Anolis sagrei: one gene and its partners. The protein of the gene in region 1 interacts with the protein of each later gene in a biochemical or structural test. Links are inferred from orthologs where the notes say so. Each region holds a gene or a part of one and is shown on either strand. Other genes may lie near its edges.

Region 1 (7,600 bases):
CCCACACTTTTTCTATGAGCTGGTGGAGTTGGTGTGTCAGCTCAGGTCCTCCCTCTTTGAAGATTTCAGCAGGGATCCCATCCGGTCCGCTGGCTTTGTTATTCTTCTGCTGGCTGATGGCATTGCTGACTTCTTCCAAACTAGGCGGTGCTGCAAGCTCATCCCTGGTTTGTTGTTGCGGGATTTGTGAGAGGACCTCTTCGGCCACATTGGAGCTGCGGTTCAGGAGGCTTTGGTAGTGTTCTTTCCAACGTAGTGCAATTGAGTTTTGGTCCTTCAGGAGTTTGGTTCCATCTGATGAGCGTAGAGGCTGTATGCCATGGTTTCTTGGTCCGTAGATGACCTTTGTGGCTTTGAAAAATCCTTGAGCATTATGGGTATCTGCCAGGTGTTGGATTTCTTCAGCCTTCTTTGTCCACCAGATGTTCTTGAGTTCTCTTGTCCTTCTTTGGACCTCGGCTTTTGCACTAGCGTAGATCTTTTTCTTAGCAGCACAGTTGATGTTTCTCTGCCATGTTTGGAAGGCTTTCCTTTTCTTGTCAATTAGCTGTTGGATCTCGATGTCATTTTCATCAAACCAGTCTTGATGTTTCTTGGCTTGGTATCCAATAGTTTCTTCGCAGGCTTGGATGATGGAGGTCTTCAGTTTGTTCCAATGTTCCTCAACATTTTCGGGGTGTTCTGTGGGTAGATGGTTCTTGAGTGCTGTTTGGAGATGGGCTCGTCTGGAGGGCTCCTGAAGGGCTTGGGTGTTCATTTTGCGCCTTGTCTTTCTGCCTTGGAGTCTGCGCTTGGGAGCGATCTTGATGGCCATCGAGGATCGGATTAGCCTGTGGTCAGTCCAGCAGTCGTCAGCACCTGTCATGGCTCTTGTGAGGAGCACGTCACGGCGGTCTCTGGCACGTGTGATTACATAGTCTAAGAGGTGCCAATGCTTTGACCGGGGGTGCTTCCATGATGTCTTGAACTTGTTTTTCTGGCGGAAGAGCGTGTTGGTGATGACAAGGTTGTGTTCCGCACATTTGGTGAGAAGCAGGATGCCATTCGGGTTGCTGTTTCCAACCCCGTCTTTTCCTATGGTTCCTGGCCACAGGTCGAAGTCTCGCCCGACTCTTGCATTGAAGTCCCCCAGGAGGATGATTTTGTCCTCCTTAGGTATCCCCGATAGGACGGTGTCCAGCTGACAGTAGAATTTCTCCTTGATGTCTTCGTCAGCATCTAGTGTTGGTGCATAGGCACTTATGATGGTTGCCCGTTGGTTTTTGGCAAGATTGATTCGGAGGGTTGAGAGACGTTCGTTGATGCCAGTGGGTGCTTCGGACAGATGTTTCACCAGATCATTTCTGATGGCAAAGCCGACTCCGTGCATTCTTTGGTCTTCTTCAGGCAGTCCCTTCCAGAAGAAGGTGTAGCCTCCTTTTTCTTCCTTCAGCTGTCCCTCCCCTGCTCTCCGGGTCTCCTGAAGGGCTGCTATGTCGATGTTGAAGCGTCCCAGCTCCCTTGCAATGATGGCAGTTCTGCGTTCGGGGCGTTCACTGCCACTGTTGTCCATCAGAGTCCGTACGTTCCACGTACCAAAGTTCATTTTTCTTTTTTGGCCGCGGGGTGGTGACCCCACTGGACGCGGCAGTCCAGTCAGGGATGAGAGAGGCAGACTATGTTTAGGGCACCTTTTCTAGCCCCCTCCCCATGTGGGGTGAGCAGAGTGGATCCTCAAAAGGGCTGCTCAGTCGCGGATACAGCTGCCGAACTACTCAACTGCCTCGGTCCTTGAGGTAGAACGACTGAGTCCATACCCACCGCCCATGTGCCAGTCTGTGACTAGGGGCTTCCAGATTTCACAGTCCTGCCCCCGTCGCCACTCGCTGATCGCCATGGGACTTTGGTTGGTTGGTTTTTATTTTCTTTGGAAGACGCCTGTGCGTGGGTTTTTTTAATGTGAACCCCCCCCCCCCTCTGAAATATAGGGCTGTGTGGAAAGGCCCCTACAATAAAGTTTTAGAGGTGCAACTTAGGCCCTTCGACACAGTTGTATAAAATCCCACATTGAACTGTATTATATAGCAGTGTGGACCCTGGGCCCTTCCACACAGCCCTTTATCCCAGGTTATCAAGGCAGGAAATTCCACAATATTTGAGTGTGGATTCGGATAACCCAGTTCAAAGCGGATATCGTGGGATTTTCAGCCTTGATATGGCTGTGTGGATGGGCCCCCAGAATATAAAGGCACCGGGATTGTGGCGCAGCTGGCTGAGTGTCAGCTGCATTAAGATCACTCTGACCAAAAGGTCATGGGTTCGAAGCCAGCTCGGGTTGGAGTGGGTTTCCAACCAATTGTGTAGCCCGTTGTCGACCTTTGCAACCCGAAAGACAGTTGCATCTGTCAAGTAGGAAAATTAGGTACCACCTTAAAGTGTGGGGAGGCTAAATTAACTAATTTATGAGGCCATAAAAAAAGACTTCAGCAAAGCATGCGGGGAATGCGGAAGTACTTCATCAGTGTCGCAGATGGACGATGAAAGCGACAGCTCCCTGGCAGCCAGAAAAAGTTAAATAGCCTCTGTCTATGTCTGTATATGTTGTATGTCAAATTGGCACTGAATGTTTGCCATATATGTGCACACTGTAATCCGCCCTGAGTCCCCTGCGGAGTGAGAAGGGCGGAATATAAAAGCTGTAATAAGTAAATAAATAAATAAAATCCCACAATATCTGCTTTGAACTGGGTTATCTGAGTCCACATTGCCATATAATTCAGTTCAAGGTGGGGTTTTATTCCGCTGTGTAGAAGGAGTCACAGCAGGCCCAGGCCAACTTGGACCTTCTCTTCAAGTGTTTTGAATTCCGAGTCCCAGCATTCCTAAGAGCCTCAGGCCCTTTCCTTTTCCATAAGCGGCTGAGGGGGAAAAGGAAGGGGCCTGAGGCTCTTAGGAATGCTAGGACTTGGGAGTCCAAAACACCTGGATGGCCCAAATTAACCCAGACCTGTGCCAAAGACTTCTCCTCTCTGCCCCAAATGTGAGCGCTTAAGCAGCTGGGGGGGGGGGGGGGGAGGAAGGGGCCTGAGGCTGTTAGGAATGCTGGGAGTTGGAGTCCAAAACACCTGGAAGGCCCAAATTTACCCAGACCGGTGCCACAAGTTTCTCCTCCTCTCTGCTCCAAATGGGAGCACTTAAACGGCTGAGGTGGAAAAGGGAAGGGCCTGAGGCTGTTAGGAATGCTGGGAGTTGGGAGTCCAAAACACCTGGAGGGAAGGCCCAAGTTGTCCCAGACTTGCGTCACAGGTTTCTCCTCCTCTTTGCCCCAAATGAGGAAGAACTTTCTGACTGTGAGAGCCATTCAGCAGTGGAACTCTCTGCCTCGGAGTGTGGTGGAGGCTCCCTATTTGGAAGCTTTTGAACAGAGGCTAGATGGCCATCTGTCAGGGGTGCTTTGAATGCAATATTCCTGCTTCTTGGCAGGGGGTTGGACTGGATGGCCCAGAGGTCTCTTCCAACTCTGATTCTATGAAATGTGGGCGCTAAGGGGTTGAGGGGGAAAAGGAAGGCGCCTGAGGCTGTTGGGAATTATGGGAGTTGGAGTCCAAAACACTTGGAGGGCCCATATTTACCTATACCGTTGTCACAGGCTTCTCCTCCTCTCTGCCCCAAATGTGAGCGCCTAAGTAGCAGAGGAGGGGGGAAGGAAAGGGCCTGAGGCTGTTAGGAATGCTGGGAGTTGGAGTCCACAACACCTGGATGGCCCAAATTAACCCAGACCTGTGCTAAAGACTTCTTCTCCTCTTTGCAGAAAATGTGATCGCTTAAGCAGCTGAGGGGGAAAAGGAGGAGGCTTGAGGCTGTTAGGAATTATGGGAGTTGGAGTCCAAAACACCTGGATGGCCCAAATTAACCCAGACCTTTGCCAAAGGCTTCTCTTCCTTTTTGCCCCAAATGTGAGCGCTTAGTGGTTGAGGGGGAAAAGGAAAGGACCTAAGGCTGTTAGGAATGCTGGGAGTTGGAGTCCACAATACCTGGAGGGAAGGCCCAAGTTGGCCCAGACTTCTGACACAGACTTCTCTTCCTCTTTGCCCCAAATGTGAGCGCTTAAGCAGCTGAGGGGGAAAAGGAGGAGGCTTGAGGCTGTTAGGAATTATCGGAGTTGGAGTCCAAAACACCTGGAGTGCCCAAGTTTGCCCACACCTTGTACCACAGGCTTGTCTCCCTCTGTGCCCGAAATGTGAGCGCTCTTCCCCTTTAAGAAGCAGCGCCCCCCGCTGACGTCACCGCGAAGGCCTTTTGGAATGTATGCAAATAGACCCCCTTTTCCTGCCTTCTCCCCTCCGGCCAACCGGAAGCCGAGCGGTCTCCTTTCCCCAGCCAATGGTTGCGCGGGAGCTTTGACGTAGCGGAGGGGCGGCGGCCAATGGCGTCCGAGCGGCGCCTCGCGCCATATAAGGAGCGCCCTCGCCATAAAAGGAGATCTCGACTGGCTTTATATGGGCTTTTGGAAGGAGGGAGGGAGGAGGGCAGGAAGGAAGGAGGGGGGGAGGAGGCCGGGGAGAGCGGAGGGGGCCGGGCTAGGCCGGGCCAGGCCAAGCCGGGGAGAGCCATGGCAGCGCCGGCCTCGTAGAAGGGAGAACATGTTGCCCAGCAAGGCCGGGAACGGGTCCGCCTCTGCCGCGCTGCCCCGGGGCCCGGGCATGGCCTTGCCGCGGCCGCCCTCCTCCTCCTCCTCGTCGGCCCCGCACCGCCTCCGAGGCCCCGGCAATGGGACCGGGCCGCGCTTCGACCGCGACGCCGTGCTGGGAGGCGCAGGCAGCGGCAGCGAGGGGGACTCCGACTCGGGCGAGGACGAGGAGCCGCTGGGCGACCGCCGAGGGGTGAAGCGGGCGCTCGGGGAGGTGGAGCTGGGTGCCGCGGCGGCGGGAGGAGTGGGGCAATCAGTGGCGGCGGGGCAGGAGGCGCCCTCCTCGGCTGCCCTGGCTGCGGGAGCCCCCGGAGGGGGAGGAGGGTACAGCGGCGCGGCCAGCGGGGCCAAGCCCGGCAAGAAGACCCGCGGGCGCGTCAAGATCAAGATGGAATTCATCGACAACAAGCTGCGCCGATACACCACCTTCAGCAAGAGGAAGACCGGCATCATGAAGAAGGTGAGTCCCCGCCGCTCAGGAAGGCACCCTCAAAGCCCTCCCGGCAGGTGGCCTCTCTACAGAACTAGAGTTGGAAGCCAAGGGGCAATTCAAAACCCTCCTGACAGATGGCCACTGTTTAAACAACTCCAGAGAAAGGAGGGGTTATGAAATCATACAGTTGGAAGGGACAGCCAAAGGCCAGCCCCACTCAAAACCCTCCTGACAGATGCCCAGCCAGCTCCAGTTCTATAAAAACCCGCCTGACAGATAGCCAGTTTAAACAACTCCAGAGAAAGGAGGGTTTATGAAAAAATACAGTTGGAAGGGACACCCAAAGGCCAACCCCACTCAAAACCCTCCTGACAGATGGCCAGCCAGCCCCTGTTCCATCAAAACCCTCCTGACAGATGGCCACTGTTTAAACAACTCCTGAAAAAGGAGGGTTTATAAAATCATAGAATTGGAAGGGACACACGAGGGCCAACCCCACTCAAAACCCTCCTGACAGATTGCAAGCCAGCTCCAGTTCTATCAAAACCCTCCTGACAGATGGCCAGCCAGCCTCTATTTTCGGAAGAGGGGAGTTGGAAGGGACACCTAAGGGCCATCCAGTCCAACTCCATTCAGGAAGCACTATCAAAGCCCTCCCTGCAGATGGCCACTCTGTTTAAACAACTCACAAGAAAGTGAGTTTATAAAATCAGAGTTGGAAGGGACACCCAACGGCCAACCCCACTCAAAACTCTCCTGACAGATGGCCACTGTTTAAACAACTCCAGAGAAAGGGGGTTTATAAAATCATAGAGTTGGAAGGGACACCCAACGGCCAACCCCACTCAAAACCCTCCTGACAGATGGTCAGCCAGCCCCTGTTCCACCATCAAAACCCTCCTGACAGATGGCCACTGTTTACAGAGAAGGAGGGTTTATGAAATCATAGGGTTGGAAGGGACAGCCAAGGGCCAACCCCACTCAAAACTCTCCTGACAGATGCCCAGCCAGCCTCTATTTTAGGAAGAGGGGAGTTGGAAGGGACATCCAAGGGCCATCCACTCCAACTCGATTCAGGAAGCACCATCAAAGCCCTCCCTGCAGATGGCCACTCTGTTTAAACAACTCACAAGAAAATGAGTTTATAAAATCATAGAGTTGGAGGGGACACCCAACGGCCAACCCCGCTCTAAACTCTCCTGACAGATGGCCAGCCAGCCCCTGTTCCATCAGAACGCTCCTGACAGATGGCCACTGTTTAAACAAGGCCAGAGAAAGGAGGGGTTATGAAATCATAGAATTGGAAGGGACACCCGAGGGCCAACCCCACTCAAAACCCTCCTGACAGATGGCCAGCCAGCCACTATTTTAGGAAGAGGGGGCTTCCTAAAATAATAGAGTTGGGACACCCAAGGGCCATCCAGTCAGGAAGCACCATCAAAGCCCTCCCTGCAGATGGCCACTCTGTTTAAACAACTCCCGAGAAAGTGAGTATATAAAATCATAAAGTTGGAAGGGACACCCAAAGGCCAACCCCACACAAAACTGTCTTGACAGATAGCCAGCCAGCCTCTGTTCCATCAAAACCCTCCTGACAGATAGCCAGTTTAAACAACTCCAGAGAAAGGAGGGTTTATGAAATCATACAGCTGGAAGGGGCACCCGAGGGCCAACCCCACTCAAAACCCTCCTGATAGATGGCCAGCCAGCCTCTGTTCCATCAAAACCCTCCTGACAGATAGCCAGTTTAAACAACTCCAGAGAAAGAAGGGTTTATGAAATCATACAGCTGGAAGGGGCACCCGAGGGCCAACCCCACTCAAAACCCTCCTGACAGATGGTCAGCCAGCCGCTATTTTAGGAAGAGGGGGGTTTCTAAAATAATAGAGTTGGAAGGCACACCTAAGGGCCATCCAGTCCAACTGCATTCAGGAAGGCACCATCAAAGCCCTCCCTGCAGATGGCCACTCTGTTTAAACAACTCACAAGAAAGTGAGTTTATAAAATCATAAAGTTGGAAGGGACACCCAAAGGCCAACCCCACTCAAAACCCTCCTGACAGATGGCCAGCCAGCCTCTGTTCCATCAAAACCCTCCTGATAGATGGCCACTGTTTAAACAACTTCCAAGAAAGCAAGTTTATAAAATCATAAGAGTTGGAAGGGACACCCAAAGGCCAACCCCACTCAAAACCCTCCTGACAGATGGCCAGCCAGCCTCTGTTCCATCAAAACCTTCCTGATAGATGGCCACTGTTTAAACAACTTCCAAGAAAGCAAGTTTATAAAATCATAAGAGTTGGAAGGGACACCCAAAGGCCAACCCTACTCAAAACCTTCCTGACAGATGGCCAGCCAGCCCCTGTTCCATCAAACCCCTCCTGAGAGATATCCACCCAGCCTCTATTTTAGGAAGATAATACTTGCTAAAATAATAGAACTGGCAGGGACACCCAAGGGCCTTCCAGTCCAACTCCATTCAGGAAGGCATCATCAAAG
Region 2 (7,575 bases), on another chromosome or scaffold:
ATGTAAATAAATAAGGAGGAACCTCACTGCAATCTATTTCTGGCAATATAAATGCTGCTGCAAAACAGAAGTAGCCACAAATGTTCAGAGAGGCCAGCTGCAGAAAAACTATAGAACCAAGGAGCCAAAAATGTCTTCGAATGCTCTCTGAATGACAGTGAAAACATTTTCAATTTGCTGTTTGAAAGCTAGCACCTCAAAGAAGCGGAGAGAGTTCCATATATTATGTGCCACCAATGAAAAGACACTGATCTTTCTTCATCCATTGAGTCTTGTCATTTCAAGAAATAAATAAAAAAGGAAAAGAAAGGTGACATTCTCTTCCGCAAGGCCCAAAATTCTTGAAAGGAGGATTTCTAAAATAGATGGTTTTGCACAAGAGAGAACAGCCAAGGTCTCTTCCTGATCTTAAGTTCTTTGTTATACTCCTATCTTTCTCTTGTTCCAAAACACTCAGAGGGATTTTCATAACCATAAGAGTTGCATCTATATTGCAGTATTTCATTTTCCAAGTGCTCAGCTTACTTTTCATCTGCCACTTAAGGGTAACATGTATTGTAAGAATATTTTCACAGATTCTATCTAATGTTGGCATTTTTCCTTATGCATTTACTTACTAGATCTGTCATTATGTCTTTGATAGCAAGATGATTTGCAGAAATTAAACACACAAGACTTTCTTGCTGACTTTCTTCCCATACTAGGAATATATTACCTGCCTAAACTACTGCTTATGAAACTACTGTTTAAAAGGCACAAGAATGTGAGGAAGGGGGCCTGATAATTCTGTTTTCTCTTAGTATAACACAGGCATAGGCAATCTTCTGCCCTCCAGGTGTTTTGGACCTCAACTCTCACAATTCCTGACAGCTGGTCCAAAATACCTGGAAAGCCCAAATTTGCCCATGCCTGGTATAACCAGTGGGTCCAAACAAAAGAAGTTGTCCACCAATTACAGCATGGCGTATTGCACAATATACCTTTCAAATTAGGTTGGTTCTAAACAATTCTTACCAAGAAAACTCTGTGATACGTTCTCTTAAGTAGCTGTCAAAAATGACTTGAAAGCACGCAACAATTGCTTGCATTTAAAAAAACCTATGAAATGTGGGGTGAGGTCACCATATCTCAACCTGAAGGCACACACACACACACACACACACACAAGCAAGAAATAAATGCAGAACGTACAGCAAAATTGCTTTCAAACAAACCACCTAATGTGAAACACACCATCCACAAAAAAGATTGAAAGTTTGGCTATTTCCAAGTGGATGTTTCCAAATGTTTTGGACTTAAATGCCAATCACCCCTAGCCAGTATGGTTAACAAAAATGCTTCCTAGTCGATGGGAATTGTAGTCTAGAAGATTTGAAGGGCAACATTTTTATTTATTTATTTATTTATTTACTCACTCAATTTTTATACCACCTTCCTCACCCTTGGGAGGACTCAAGGAAGTTTTCAACATTGGAAGGTAAATGACACTGAATGCTGCAACTTGATTCGCTTGTGATCAACTAATTGGATAGATCACCACCATAAAAGCAGACATTTATAAACATTAGCCATTATTAGCTAACACACCACCAAGATAAAATGGGGAGGGGATTATTAAATTCCATAAGCATCACCCTGTGACTCCTCCAATTGATGGATTTTGCCTGTCAATAATGAGGTACAGTGAATCGTGGTGAGGAGGCAAACAGAATGTGCACAATGTCATGTGATAAGAATGGCTTCAGGGCTGGTTTGCCTACATTCTGTGATCTCAGATTTACTGTTCTATACAATTATTCCATGATTCTGGTCCTCTGATGCAGCTACTACATGACATTTTGATATATGTAAGCTAGTATGAGCTAGAATGATGCATTCTAGCATCTGATATTTGTTCTTCTTGTGACACATATGTATGCAGGGCGATCAAAAGTTCTTAGGTTCATTACAGCTAAAATTTAAAGGAGGCATAATACATTCTCAAACCAATGGTATTTGTGGCCTGTTTAAAATTAAACATAAAATCCCAGTATTGACTGGCAGCTCAGTTATGAACTTCCAAAAAAGGCCCAAGCTTCTCTGATGAATCACAGGCTGGTTTGATTTCTAACTGTGCAGGGGAAAACTTGAAACATGCTAGAAATCTGCCCAAAGTCCCTCCCCATTAAGACTGTGGGCTGAGAAATGTGAGTAAAATAGAAAGTCCCTCCTCGGTGGGCGATTTTGAAAGGGAAAATATTACCACATTTTGGGGGGCTGAAATTCTTTCCATTGACCAGTCCCTTTGCTGGCATTTCGTCTGGAACGAAGCTGTCAGGATGGAAGTAGGTAGACTCTTAGAAAGCTGGTTCTGTGCACATTGAGTCCTATTGAGCTTATCAAAGTTACTTTTTTTTTTACTTTAGCTCCTTCAAAGGTTAGGAGATTCTAAGAGTTGTAATCCAAAAAAGTAACTTTTCCAAGCTATGATACTAGAAGCTTTTCCAATGAAGAGGTGGGAAAGCTTCAGTCCATTCTAGTTTGAAGATGGGATGATAAAAGCAGTCTATGTGGAAGAAAAATTATGAATAAATAACTCGACATATTTACACTCTTATAACTTTACACAGTGTTTAACAGGCACTGTGAATATCTATCTTCAGATATGCAAAATTTGGAAAGCTCACCTTTTTGGACTACAAGTCACTCATCAACCATGATCACTGTCCATGGTAACTTTTCCATGTGCTGCAGGTATGACACCTTCTCAAGTTTTGTTTCTATTATCTGTCTTTTAAAAGGAAGTTATCATGATTTGCAAGATAATTTTAGGCATTAAAAGCTAAGCATAGCAATTGCTGCCAATGCAGGCAACCATATAATGTTGACTTATTGTTCTTACCTCTATCCTATCCTTATATATGAAAACTTGTCTTTGAAAAAACATAAAAGCTGTGCTGGAAGACATCTCATCTAGCCTTCTCTTCTCACTGTGGCCAACCAATTGACTGTGTGAAGTGAGATGTGAATGCAGTGGCAGCCTCCCATTTACGTTCCCCAGCAACTGGTGGTTAGAGACATCGTGTCTGTGATGCTGGAGGCATCTGTTGCCATCACAGGTACTAGTCACTGGCAACCTTCCTTTCTGTTGTTCTAAACATTCAACAGCAGTTGCAAAGCAAACCTGTGTTCTTTATAGCAGTGGTTCTCAACCTGTGGGTCCCCAGGTGTTTTGGCCACAACTCCCAGAAATACCACTTGAAGGCAAAAACATCTGGGGACACACAGGTTGAGAACATTGCTTTATACTATCAGGAAATAATAATGCTAAATAATCATTTCCATGTTTTTGCTCTCTAGTTGTCCTTTTTTGATTATTTATTATTGTGGTTATTTATTATTATTTATTATTTATCATTCAAGCTTCTCAGAGCTATTGCTCCTTAGTATGAGAGGAAATACATCTATTGTGTGTATGGCCATTCCCCACTTTAAAAGTCTAGCAATTAAATAAAAAATATTATTGTTCTACCAGGTGTTATCAACCGGAGATGTATAGCTGTGATTTTTTGTATCCCTTTTTTCCTCCCTATAGATTTTTTTTCTTTGCTACATCTGTATCTCTCCCTTTTTCAACATAACCAACACATCTGGAGGACACTGAGCTGAGAAAGGCTAATGTAGATGAATGCTTCTAGGGCACTTATATGAGAACAGACTGTCCTGGAGATGATTTGGTTTCAGACCATTCCGTGCTATAAAAATGAAATCAGCATCTTGGATTGAGCCCTGAATTTATCTGGCAACTAATGGTATTGAATAAAAAAAAACCACATGGTTGTGTCATCTAACCCTTGCAAGAATGCTGGTATAGCTGTAGGGTGGCTTGCTGGCATTTTTTAATAATACACTAGTCTAGAGCACATTACAGTAATCTAGCTAGAAATGATTGGAAGTAGAATTCGTTTTGCCTAAGAGTCCTACTTTTTATGGACTGAAAGTACTTTTAACAGCCTCATGGATGGCAATAATCAAAAGGTGAAACTATTCCATTACTGAGCTGTAACATCAGGAAAGTTTCACCTGTTGACTTTCTGCTTTTTACAAAATGTTCGAGGCACTGAATTTCTTAAGAGTCCACAAAGAAGGGGTGTTAAATTTAAGCACGCCACCTAGGCCAAAGTAGAGCATGAGGTCTTGGAAAGTGGAGTGATTCTTCCTTGCTTGAGGAGAACAAATGGACCTGCCTTTGTGTCTATGCCTGTGCCTTGCTCCTTTCCAGAAAGGGATGGATGGCTTCGAAGCTGGCAGGGAGCAGTAATTGAAAGGAGCAGATGAGTCAGGAATGCTGCACAGAGCTGCCAGCTAAGGGAGCTGACTGATCATCAATATCATTGTAGGAGAGCAAGTGAAAATAATCCAATGGGGCTGTTGTTTGAGAGGCGGCTGGACTTCTCTGGAGCACATGCCAGATCCTCCATCCACTCCCCCCTCCGCCCACCCCACTTTAGCCACAGCACTGCCCCAAGCAGCAGACTAATCCCCACAGGGAGAGTACATGAAATCAGATGGACAAGTTTTGATGCGAAGCAGCAGCTTAGGGCAAGCTCAGGTTTCCTGGAGGTTTGCTATATTTATCTCTGTGATTTAATGCCCGCACAGGGTTTAAATGCCACCAAGCAGTTGGTGTGAGAGGCCTGCGTTTCACTCCCCAACACACGCTCTGCCTTGCCAGACGCTCACCATGGAACTGCTAGAGACCAACCCATACTTTTTCACAGACCAACGGTTTTATGATGGGGAGAACTACCTGAGCCCTCGCTTACATGGCTATGAACAGACAGCCTACCAAGACAGAGCAGCTGTGAGCCTGTGCTCTGATGGCAGGGTTGGGGTTGAGGAGAAGACCTCCTCAGTCCTGCCAGACCACAGCCCTGGACAGTGCCTGCCTTGGGCATGCAAAGTATGCAAGAGGAAAAGTGTCTCCATCGACCGGCGCCGTGCTGCCACCCTGAGGGAAAAGCGCCGGCTGAAAAAAGTCAACGAGGCCTTTGAAGCTCTGAAACGGAGCACTTTACTCAACCCAAATCAGCGGCTTCCCAAGGTGGAGATTCTGCGCAGTGCCATCCAATACATTGAACGCTTACAAGCTCTGCTCAGTACCCTCAACCAACAGGAGCGGGACCAGCGGGAACTACACTACTGTAACAACAACAACCAGCCAGTGGTAAGTGCCAGGGGAAGGGGACAGGTCATCACACAGTCATCCAAGAGCGCAGCAAACAGCTACTGCATCAGCCTTTCCTAGAGAATCAGTAGCTTGACCGCCTTCAACAATATATTCCCAAGTCCAAACTCTCTAGCTTCTATTATTGGCTGCCACTCTGCCTATTCTCCAACAGTCATATATAAGCAAAGTCATATAAAGGTATTCGTAGTTTTCTGTAGATGTTACTACACTGTAAAAGGATAGCAGAAGTGCACTATGGTCTCCAGATATATTTGACTAACATCCCCATCAGTCCCAGGCAACATGATCAATGGTTTAGAAATTATGAGCATTATAGTTCAAAATCTGTAATGTATAGGGTACTCCATGGTGGGTGGGCTGGGAAGAACCATGTCTCCCAGTGTATTCTGGTAATGTATGTGGCTTAAGGCGACTGAAAGGGAATTGAACATTTTCAGAATTTGATATGGCTGGAGAATTATTTTCTTTCTACACAAATATTCCACCATTTAAAACTATACATTTCAGTTTTCATGTCCTTTATAGCTTTCATATTCACAGCTGACACAGGTAGAGGGTATACTTCCAGAAATATATGAATATTACTATATTGTTTTTCTCTATAAATGCAGCAGTGACTGTCTTGGTCTGTTCCTTTTAAATTAGTTGTGCATAATATAGTGGAATTGTGATAGTATTAACCTGCCTAATAAGGGTATTGCATAATGAAGAATTTTGGAATAGATGTATCCTTCCTTATCTATACTGCAGTTTATCAAAGGTGGGCATGAGTCACAGGACAAACTGGCATCACCCCTATAACCCAAGTGACTAGTGGATGGGATTTTATTCCAACAGATGGTACCTCAGGAAATGAATTCTAATACACATGCCAATGAGGAAGGACTTGGACGCTGGACACCTGTTGAGTTCAAATGGGTTACTGGGTATCTCCATTTAAAGATTTACAAGAGCATTTGGGTACAAGCCTTCAGTCCTAAGGGACAAAATACTACAAGATTGAATTCTGGGCTTCTCCTATAAGGCTCTCCAATATGTTTACAGCTCCTCCTTTCAAAGCATCCTTTCGGATTACTACTCTCTTATAATTGCTGAACAAAATGAGTAAGACCATTGTGGAACAGTATGTATTGTGAAAGGGCTCTAGTGGCAGTAGACATTTTGACTAGCCATTGCTATCTCATGTTGTAAACTTGCCCTCCGAGACTCTTGGAGCAGGTAGAAAACCTCTCACCTCCTATCAGTAGGATAAATTTGATTTGGGTTGTGTTTAGTTTCAAAGAATAGTATGGCTTTCCCATTTTCTTTCCAAATATCTTATTCTGAAATAAGTCCTCACATTTTGTAGGCTGAATGTTCATATACTGCCCAAAACAAGCTTGGGAATGTTCATCCAGCCTGGTTTGAGAACAGAGGAAAGTTATGAACAGCTGCAGGCTGTATTCTCTGTTCTTTGTCTGCTTCTCAATCTGTCTACTACATGTTCACCTAGGCTGTTGGCATTGGATTCAATTTCACAGGAGATCCCTGTAATGTACATTTGCAGCACTTTATAGACTCAGAAGACAGCAGCAAACCACAGCCATATCAGAAATTGTTTGTCTCTGTGTTGTTGTTGCTGTTTTCGATTCATTGAAGGTGAAAGACCCTTTAATTGGTGAAGCCGAGATTGCAATGATCATGCTGGTTGAGGAATGCTGAGAGTTCTGGTCTAAACAGAATCACCTTTCCCCAAATCTAATGCAGTCAAAGTGTGAAACCAGTACTAAAGATCTCCCATTTTCTCATTCAAGGTGGGTAGTGACCATGGACCCAGCAGCACTTCATGCAGTCCAGAATGGAGCACCCAGTTGGAGTTCAACACTCATCCAGGAGGTAAGACCATATTGTCTTCTGGGAACACAAAGGTCTAACCCTTTTTGCTCTTTAGAGGTAAGGACCATTCTGGTAGGATCTACACTGCTCTATATCCCAGGATCTGATCCCAAATTATCTGTTTATCCTATATTAACTAGACTCATATAATCCAGTTCAAAGCAGATAATCTGGGATCAGATCCTGGGATATAGAGCAGTGTAGATCCAGCTTCTATTAATCCTAAGTTCTCCTGCTCCGCTCCATCTTTAAAATGCATGTATGTGTAGAAGTATTTTACCATGATCTGTTCTAGAACGGGGGAAAACACAAATAGTATTGGGATATCTGTACTTAGAAGCAACTGCAAAGCTGGTAAAAGCAGGTCTGGACTCTAGAAAGTTACTTCTGGCCATAGAAAGCAACCTCTTACCTGTAAAAGGAAAAAATAGGTATCTTCCTGATAATAAAAATTATGTAAACACCTCCTT
Region 3 (7,362 bases), on another chromosome or scaffold:
CTCTTGTGAAGCAAACATCACAACCTGTTAAATGATCTTACCCTTCCTAGACTTTTTTCATTTCTACCAATGTTCAGTGAAAAAGCAAAGGTATTGTATGTGCTACAATAAACTGTATAGATTGGAATTTGTCATCTTTTTTTTCTTATTCTGTTTAATGACATGTAAAGGGACATTCTGGTACTGAGCATATAGTCATGAAAGGTGGGGATAAGTCAAGTAAATGTACATCTTAGAATAGCCTTTCCAACTTGATGTTCACTGGAAGTGTGGAACTAAATCTCCTCATCTCCAGCCAACAGAAGTATTGGGACAAAGAAAATGGTCATCCATGCCAATTATCTTGAAGACAGGTTATATATATATATATATATTAAAAAAACCCACTAAAATGTTGCTAAATAATGTAGGGAAAACACTACTATTGCTAGAGTCAGTGACCAGGCAGGTTTAGAGAAAATAAGTCCAAATATTTGATTAATATTTTAAATAAGACAACATTATAGAATGTGCCATATGGGGCTGCTGCATTTATGTTTGTCAAATTTTATTATATTTCCTGATTTTTTTTTAAATTAAGTTGATTTTACAGCTACAACTTGAAGAGCAGCACTCAATGTGTTATAATAAAATAAGAAAAAGCAAAAAGTAAATAATTCAATAGAAAAAGCACTAACAAGTTATCATTTCTTAAGAAGTTAAACCTATGCTTCGTTCAACTATGGCATTTCTTCCTTGTCCCCCATGTAGACTACAGTATAACACTAAGTATCTAGAACCAATGTTTAATCATTAAACACAACATAGCTAACAAGATCAAATAGCTCCTAGTCCCACACACTTCAAATTCCTTTTCCAAGATACGTGGAGAGATGATTTCAGTGCATTCTGTGTCTTTAAAAGAGATTGCCTTTATTAGCAGAACATCTGTTTATTTCATAACGTAATCAGTGGTATTACCTGCACTTATCTTGGGGCCACTCCCTTTGAATTCAGTGATGAAAAGTTTGCTTTAAAATGCAGTTTTGTCATCAAAGAAAATGTGGGTAACTTCTGTTAGCAATATGTTTTCTTCCTGTGAAGGATTTATTGTTTTCAAGCCTGGAATTAAAAAAAATGAAGTGAGTTTATGGAAAGTGCATTACCCTCACTAGTAACAGGCTACTAAATTAGTCCAGAACTGGAAGAAAACCCTATAATGTTTCCTTATGGACTTGAATATTTCTAACCACCTTCAAACTGTCCATTAAAATACACACCAAATGAGATGTAATCCTGGTCATCACCCACCATACTTTGTAAACGCAGAACTTAGTTTCTAGAAATAAGGCACTGGAACTCAAATGTTCCTTCAAATAACACTTAGCCCCCCAACTGGTATGACCAGTGCTCAGGGATGGCAGAGGCTGCAGTCCAGCAACATCTGAAAGATCTTAGGGTTCTTCTACACAGTCATATAATCCAGAATATCAAGGCAGATATTCCACATTATCTACTTTGAACTGAATTATCTGAGCCTACACTGCCAGATAATCCAGTTCAAAGCAAATAGCCTGGGTTTCTTCTACACAACTAAGTATCTAGTTGTGTAGAAGGGGCCTTAGAGCCCTTCCAGACAGGCCCTATATCCCAGGATCTGATCTCAGGTTTTCTGTTTATCCCAGATTATTTTGCAGTATGGACTCATATAATATAGTTTAAAGCAGAAAATCTGGGATCCGATCCTGGGATATAAGAGCCTGTCTGGAAGGGTCCTTAGTTTCTCCGCTTCTGGAACTTCATTATTGAAATGCTTTAATAAATAATAATAAAACTTTATTTAATACCCCAATGGGGACTCAGGGCGGCTTACATGAGGCCAAGCCCAACAACATATTACAATAAAGTGAAACCAAAACACAACAACACGGTAAAATGCATACAACATATGAGTACAAAAAACGATAAAACAAAATCATACACAATGAAATAAAATAAAATAACAAAGAGTGGGATGCATCTGCAAGATAAAAACTAAGATACTAAAAATACTAAAATCAGGATGAGACAGGGATGGAGCAGATTGTTTCTGAGGGAGAAACTCATAAAGGAACTGGCTCATAAATATAGACCTTTCTATAGGTGGGGAAATATACTCTGGGGACAAAACCGTTGAGGGGGAGCAACTGTGTATGATAATATGGCTACTCTCCAAAAGTGCATCGGAAAAGCCAGGTTTTGAGATCCCTCTTGAAAATTTCTAAGGTGGGGGCCTTCCTAATTTCACCAGGCAATGAGTTCCAGAGTTGGGGGGCCACAGAGGAGAAGGCTCTCTCCCTTGTGCTTACAAGATGAGCCTGTGATAATGGCAAGGGTGAAAGGAGAGCCTCCTCCGAGGATCTAAGAGCTCAGGCAGGATCCTTTAACTCAATTGTACTCCTTGATAGGTTTTAGGTTTGGGAATTGACATGGCAGCCACTAACAGCCCAGATGTCATTTCTGGTTTATAGTGACTTTGGCCCCTTCCACACAGCCAAATAAAATCCCACAGTCATGGGGTTTTCTGGGGCTGAGGGTGCATGACTTGCCTCAGGAGCAGGATTTGAACCATTGTCTTGCAGCCATTACAAATGCTGATTTAGGAGCATGGCCTGAACCCTTATCTCAGGGGTGTCAACCTCATTTTTACTGAGGGCTACATAAATCTTACGGCTGCCTTCAAAGGGTGGCTTGTAATTGTAAGACTATATAAATGTAACTATGTTGCCCTGGCACTGAAAGCTTCATGAGCCACATAAAATTAAGTGGTGGGCTAGGTTTGGCCTGCAGGCCTTGCGTTTGACATGTGCGCCCTATCTGAACACACACCAGGAATACGAGCTTGGTTTTATGTTTAGTGCTCAGAGCAAAGGTTTTTTTTTTTTTTTCGTGTCAGGAGCGACTTGAGAAACTGCAAGTTGCTTCTGGTGTGAGAGGATTGGCAAGGACGTTGCCCAGGGGATGCCCGGATGATTTGATGTTTTTATCATCCTTGTGGGAGGCTTCTCTCATGTCCCCGCATGAGGAGCTGGAGCTGATAGAGGGAGCTCATCTACCTCTCCGCAGATTCAAACCTGCGACCTGTCGGTTTTCAGTCCTGCTGGCACAGGGGTTTAACCCACTGCGCTTGATGTTTTTATCATCCTTGTGGGAGGCTTCTCTCATGTTCCCGCATGAGGAGCTGGAGCTGATAGAGGGAGCTCATCCGCCTCTCCCCAGATTCGAACCTGCGACCTATTGGTCTTCAGTCCTGCCGGCACAGGGGTTTAACCCACTGCGCTTGATGTTTTTATCATCCTTGTGGAAGGCTTCTCTCATGTCCCCGCATGAGGAGCTGGAGCTGATAGAGGGAGCTCATCCGCCCCTCCCCAGATTTGAACCTGCGACCTGTCGGTCTTCAGTACTGCCGGCACAGGGGTTTAACCCACTGCGCCAATGGGGGCTCCAATTCAAGAGCTAGGCCGGGCCTATAATACAGCAGCTTGCCTAGGAGTCCCTCAGCTAAGGCTCCAACCCACTCACTGGTTGCTCAGCCTTTGGTGCCCTTTATGGATGGGAAGTGTGGCGCCCCCTACAGGGCCAAAGCCTTCCCCGCCTTGGTGAGGCCTAGTTCCCATAGTAACAGGGGGCGGGGCCTGGGAGGTGTGGAGCCCCTCGACGCTGCGTGTCCCGGGGGGGGGGAGCAGGGGTTACCATGGCAGCAGCAGCAGCCGCCTCCTCCACCTCTCCCCCGCCTTCTCTTTCATCTCCTCCATCTTGCCCTGCGTCGCCGTGGCAACCGCGGGGGCGCGCGGAGGGCGGCGAGGGGGCGAGAGCTGGGCCCTTGGTTCCGCACCCACACCTCTGCCCCGCTCCCCTCGCGCGGCCTGTGGGCCCTCCCACGAGTCTTGAGCTGGATGGCCCTCTGCTGGGAGTGCTTTGATTGGGTCTTCCCGCCTGGCTGGGCGGGATGGGCTCGGGCTGGGTGGCCCTTGGGGTCACTCCACGTTCTTTGATTCCTCCTCCTCCTCCCATCCAGTCAAAGGAGGAGGAGGAGGCGTCGTCGTGGTAGTTGGGCCCGCCTCTCGGCCTGCTCCATGTGACGGGCGCCGTCAGCGCGGCATCTCCTCCGAAGAGGTCACCGGCGGCAGGAAGGAGGAGGAGGAGGAGGAGGAGGAGAGGAGGAGGAAGAAGAAGAAGGCGAAGAGGAGGAGGAGGAGAGGGCCCGCCCCCTCTTTCTCTCTCTCTCTCTCCCTCCCCACACCTTCCCCATTCCCCCCCCCCCCCCAACCCACCCCGCCTCCTGCCAGAGGACAGCAGCTGGGAGGAAGGAGCTGTCCAGAGAGGGCGCAGGCACTGGGAAGAAAGCTCTCCCAGCCTCCCATCCCAAAGTGGCCGCCAAGAGGAGGAAGAGGAGGAGGAGGAGGGAGAGGACCCCACAAAGCCAGCCCCCAGAGACCGGAAGCGGAGGAGCTGGGGGGGGCCCGCCCGCCCCATGGAGCCCCCCGGGGCTGCTGCCACTGCTGCTGCCATGCTGACAGGTGAGGATGTAGAGGGAGGGAGGGAAGGAGGGACCCCAAAGGCTGCTTCCCTCCCTCCCTCCCACAGTCCTGAATCCCGCCTCCACTCCTGCCTTTTTTGATGTGGGACAGGCAGGGAAACATGTCGCCACCTAAGGAAAGAAAACCCCTTGGATCAAAAGCGGATTTCACTTTGAGAGGTCTCACCCAGGGCTAATAGAGGAGCGCCTTTCAGGGTGGCAGGCTGTCAGATCTTGGGGATCCACGCCAGAGTGGGCTGTGAACATATTTACAGGCTGTGCCCTGCCCTGGGGTCCAAAGAGGAGAACTAAGTACACAATCACAGGATAATCTGGTGGGAAGGGACCACATGGGCCATCCAGTCCAACCCCCGCTCTGCAGGAAATAGAATAATAGAGTAATAGAATAATAGAGCTGGAGGAGACCTCATGGGCCATCTAGTCTAACCCCCTGTCACACAGGAAAAGTACAATAATGGAATAATAGAGTTGGAGGAGACCGCATGGGCCATCTAGTCCAACCCCCCTGTCTTACAGGAAAGGTACAATCATAGAATAATAGAGTTGGAAGGGATACATGGGCCATCTAGTCCAACCCCCTGCCATGCAGGAAAAGTACAATCATAGAATAATAGAGCTGGAGGAGACCACATGGGCCATCTAGTCTAACCCCAGTCATACAGGAAAAGCACAATCATAGAATAATAGAGGTGGAGGAGACCTCATGGGCCATCTAGTCCAACCCCCCTCATCATACAGGAAAAGTACAATAATAGAATAATAGAGTTGGAAGAGACCTCATGGGCCATCCAGTCCAACCCCCCTGCTTTGGGAGACCACATGGGCCATCTAGTCCAACCCCCTTTCATGCAGGAAAAGCACAATAATAGAATAATAGAGTTGGAAGAGACCACATGGGCCATCTAGTCTAACCCCTGTCATACAGGAAAAGTACAATAATAGAATAATAGAGTTGGAAGAGACCTCATGGGCCATCCAGTCCACCCCCTCCCCCATCATACATGAAAAGTGCAATAATAGAATAATAGAGTTGGAAGAGACTACATGAGCCATCCAGTCCAACCCCCTGCCATGCAAAAAAAGCACAAAGCAACCCCAAGAGATGGCCATCCAGCTTCTGTTTAAAAGCCTCCACACACTCAGAGGCAATGAGTTCCACTGTTGAACAGCTCTTACAGTCAGGAAGTTCTTAATGTTCAGGTGGTAGACTCTCAGTTCATTGGCTCCCATGGGGATTGGTAAATGATGGAAAAATGTAGTTTCTGGTTGCTTGAATAGTTCGTATGAAAAATAGGCCTAGCTATATCCCATACTATCCCATACTATAAACCAAGCATGGGCAAACTTAAGCTCTCCAGGTGTTTTGGACTTCAATTCCCATAATTCCTAGTAGCCAGTAGGCTGTTAGGAATTTGGGAATTGAAGTCCAAAACACCCGGAGGGCCAAAGTTTGCCCATGGCTACTATACATTCTGTATTGACTTGATGTTAATCTTGAAATACAGTAATTAAAAGCAAATGAAGACCAATGCAGATGAATTTAACTTAATGTAATACAGTTTTACTGTATTATATACATGCATTCTAATTTTTATTTAAAGTAGGATTTCTTTGATTATTTTTTTTGCTGGTTGCTTGAGTGTTCCAATTGCTTGAGTTACAGTTAACTGAGGGTAATGTAGATTCCAGAAGAGGGGATGTAGTTTGACATCTGAATCCTTCCATGATCTGCCTCATCATTAGGGATTCTTTGACTTCACAAACCCAGAGAGGACACTGGATTTTTCCTAGCCCTTACCTATCCTCTAGGTCACTCCCTCTTCTGTCTTGGGTGATGGGAACTCTCCCCAATTTTACCACCTGTCCTGCTCCCACTTTACCCCATGGCCCCCATTTTCTGCGTTAACAGCCAGATTAGCATTGGATGGGATTTTGTATTAAATCCAGTGCCAGAAAATCCTTTCTTTAGGCCAAATCCAGAGATTCACTGGGGGGAGGGGGGAGGAGAGGAGTGAGTGGGCGAATAAGCCTGTTCTTCATTCAATCCCTGCAGCTCTTCTCTTCCAGATTTGGGGCAGGCCTTTTTCCCAGAGCTAGAATCAACAAACTGCTGGGCACTCTCCCTGCCTCAAAGACTTTCTTTGGGGAATAGGTATAGTTAGGACAGGGCCCCTCATTATGACGGGGCATCCTATCAGTTTATATTCAAGGCTTATTTTGAAAGGGATGGGGGTGAAGCTAGGAGAGAAATGGGATTCATATTTTGGCAGGTCATAGCAAGACTCAGAACATGTATAGAGTCAAGTAACGTTAACTGCTGCCCTGGCAACACTGGAATAAGAGCAAAGACCTTCCAGGGCAAAGGAATGACTTGTTTCTATGTGCTTCCATTTTAGATGTTAACTACTGTTTGAGGCCTATGAGCAGGATATGAGGAGTAATAGATGACATAAATTTCCAATTATTTTTTCTAAGTACCATCTTATTCTTCCCTCTTAGTTATGCTTTGGTCTGCTGCATGTATCCATAAGTCATGCTTCTCACTTGTTCCTTGCATGGGTTGTACTTCTAGTGTGTGGCCTCAGCATGCTTGAGTCCCCAACCTAGGGATGTCAAACTCATTTTCACCGAGGACTGCATCTGCCTTATGGTTACCTTCAAAGGGCCTTTTGTAATGGTAAAACTGTATTATTATTTTTTTCATATACTTGTATCCCGCCCTTCTCACCCCCAAGGGGGGACTCAGGGAGGCCTCACAGCAAACACCATTCGGTGCCATCATAATGATAAATACAATCAACAGA

The links.
Region 2: the proteins of SRF (region 1) and MYOG form a complex in vitro, tested with the Homo sapiens proteins (2 studies listed by BioGRID and IntAct). The link is inferred for Anolis sagrei from reciprocal best matches to the Homo sapiens genes SRF and MYOG.
Region 3: the proteins of SRF (region 1) and ELK1 form a complex in vitro, tested with the Homo sapiens proteins (2 studies listed by BioGRID). The link is inferred for Anolis sagrei from reciprocal best matches to the Homo sapiens genes SRF and ELK1.

Annotation. Positions count from the first base shown.
Region 1 is NC_090021.1:25,542,595-25,550,194, forward strand, and holds the start of SRF (serum response factor), read left to right. Parts: upstream 1-4,522; 5' UTR 4,523-4,622; coding exon 4,623-5,129; intron 5,130-7,600. UniProt on the Homo sapiens protein: SRF is a transcription factor that binds to the serum response element (SRE), a short sequence of dyad symmetry located 300 bp to the 5' of the site of transcription initiation of some genes (such as FOS).
Region 2 is NC_090024.1:206,026,011-206,033,585, forward strand, and holds the start of MYOG (myogenin), read left to right. Parts: upstream 1-4,503; 5' UTR 4,504-4,648; coding exon 4,649-5,206; intron 5,207-7,023; coding exon 7,024-7,105; intron 7,106-7,575. UniProt on the Homo sapiens protein: Acts as a transcriptional activator that promotes transcription of muscle-specific target genes and plays a role in muscle differentiation, cell cycle exit and muscle atrophy.
Region 3 is NC_090022.1:193,085,646-193,093,007, reverse strand, and holds the start of ELK1 (ETS domain-containing protein Elk-1), read left to right. Parts: upstream 1-4,277; 5' UTR 4,278-4,492; coding exon 4,493-4,538; intron 4,539-6,954; exon of another isoform or gene 6,955-7,032; intron 7,033-7,080; exon of another isoform or gene 7,081-7,235; intron 7,236-7,362. UniProt on the Homo sapiens protein: Transcription factor that binds to purine-rich DNA sequences. Forms a ternary complex with SRF and the ETS and SRF motifs of the serum response element (SRE) on the promoter region of immediate early genes such as FOS and IER2.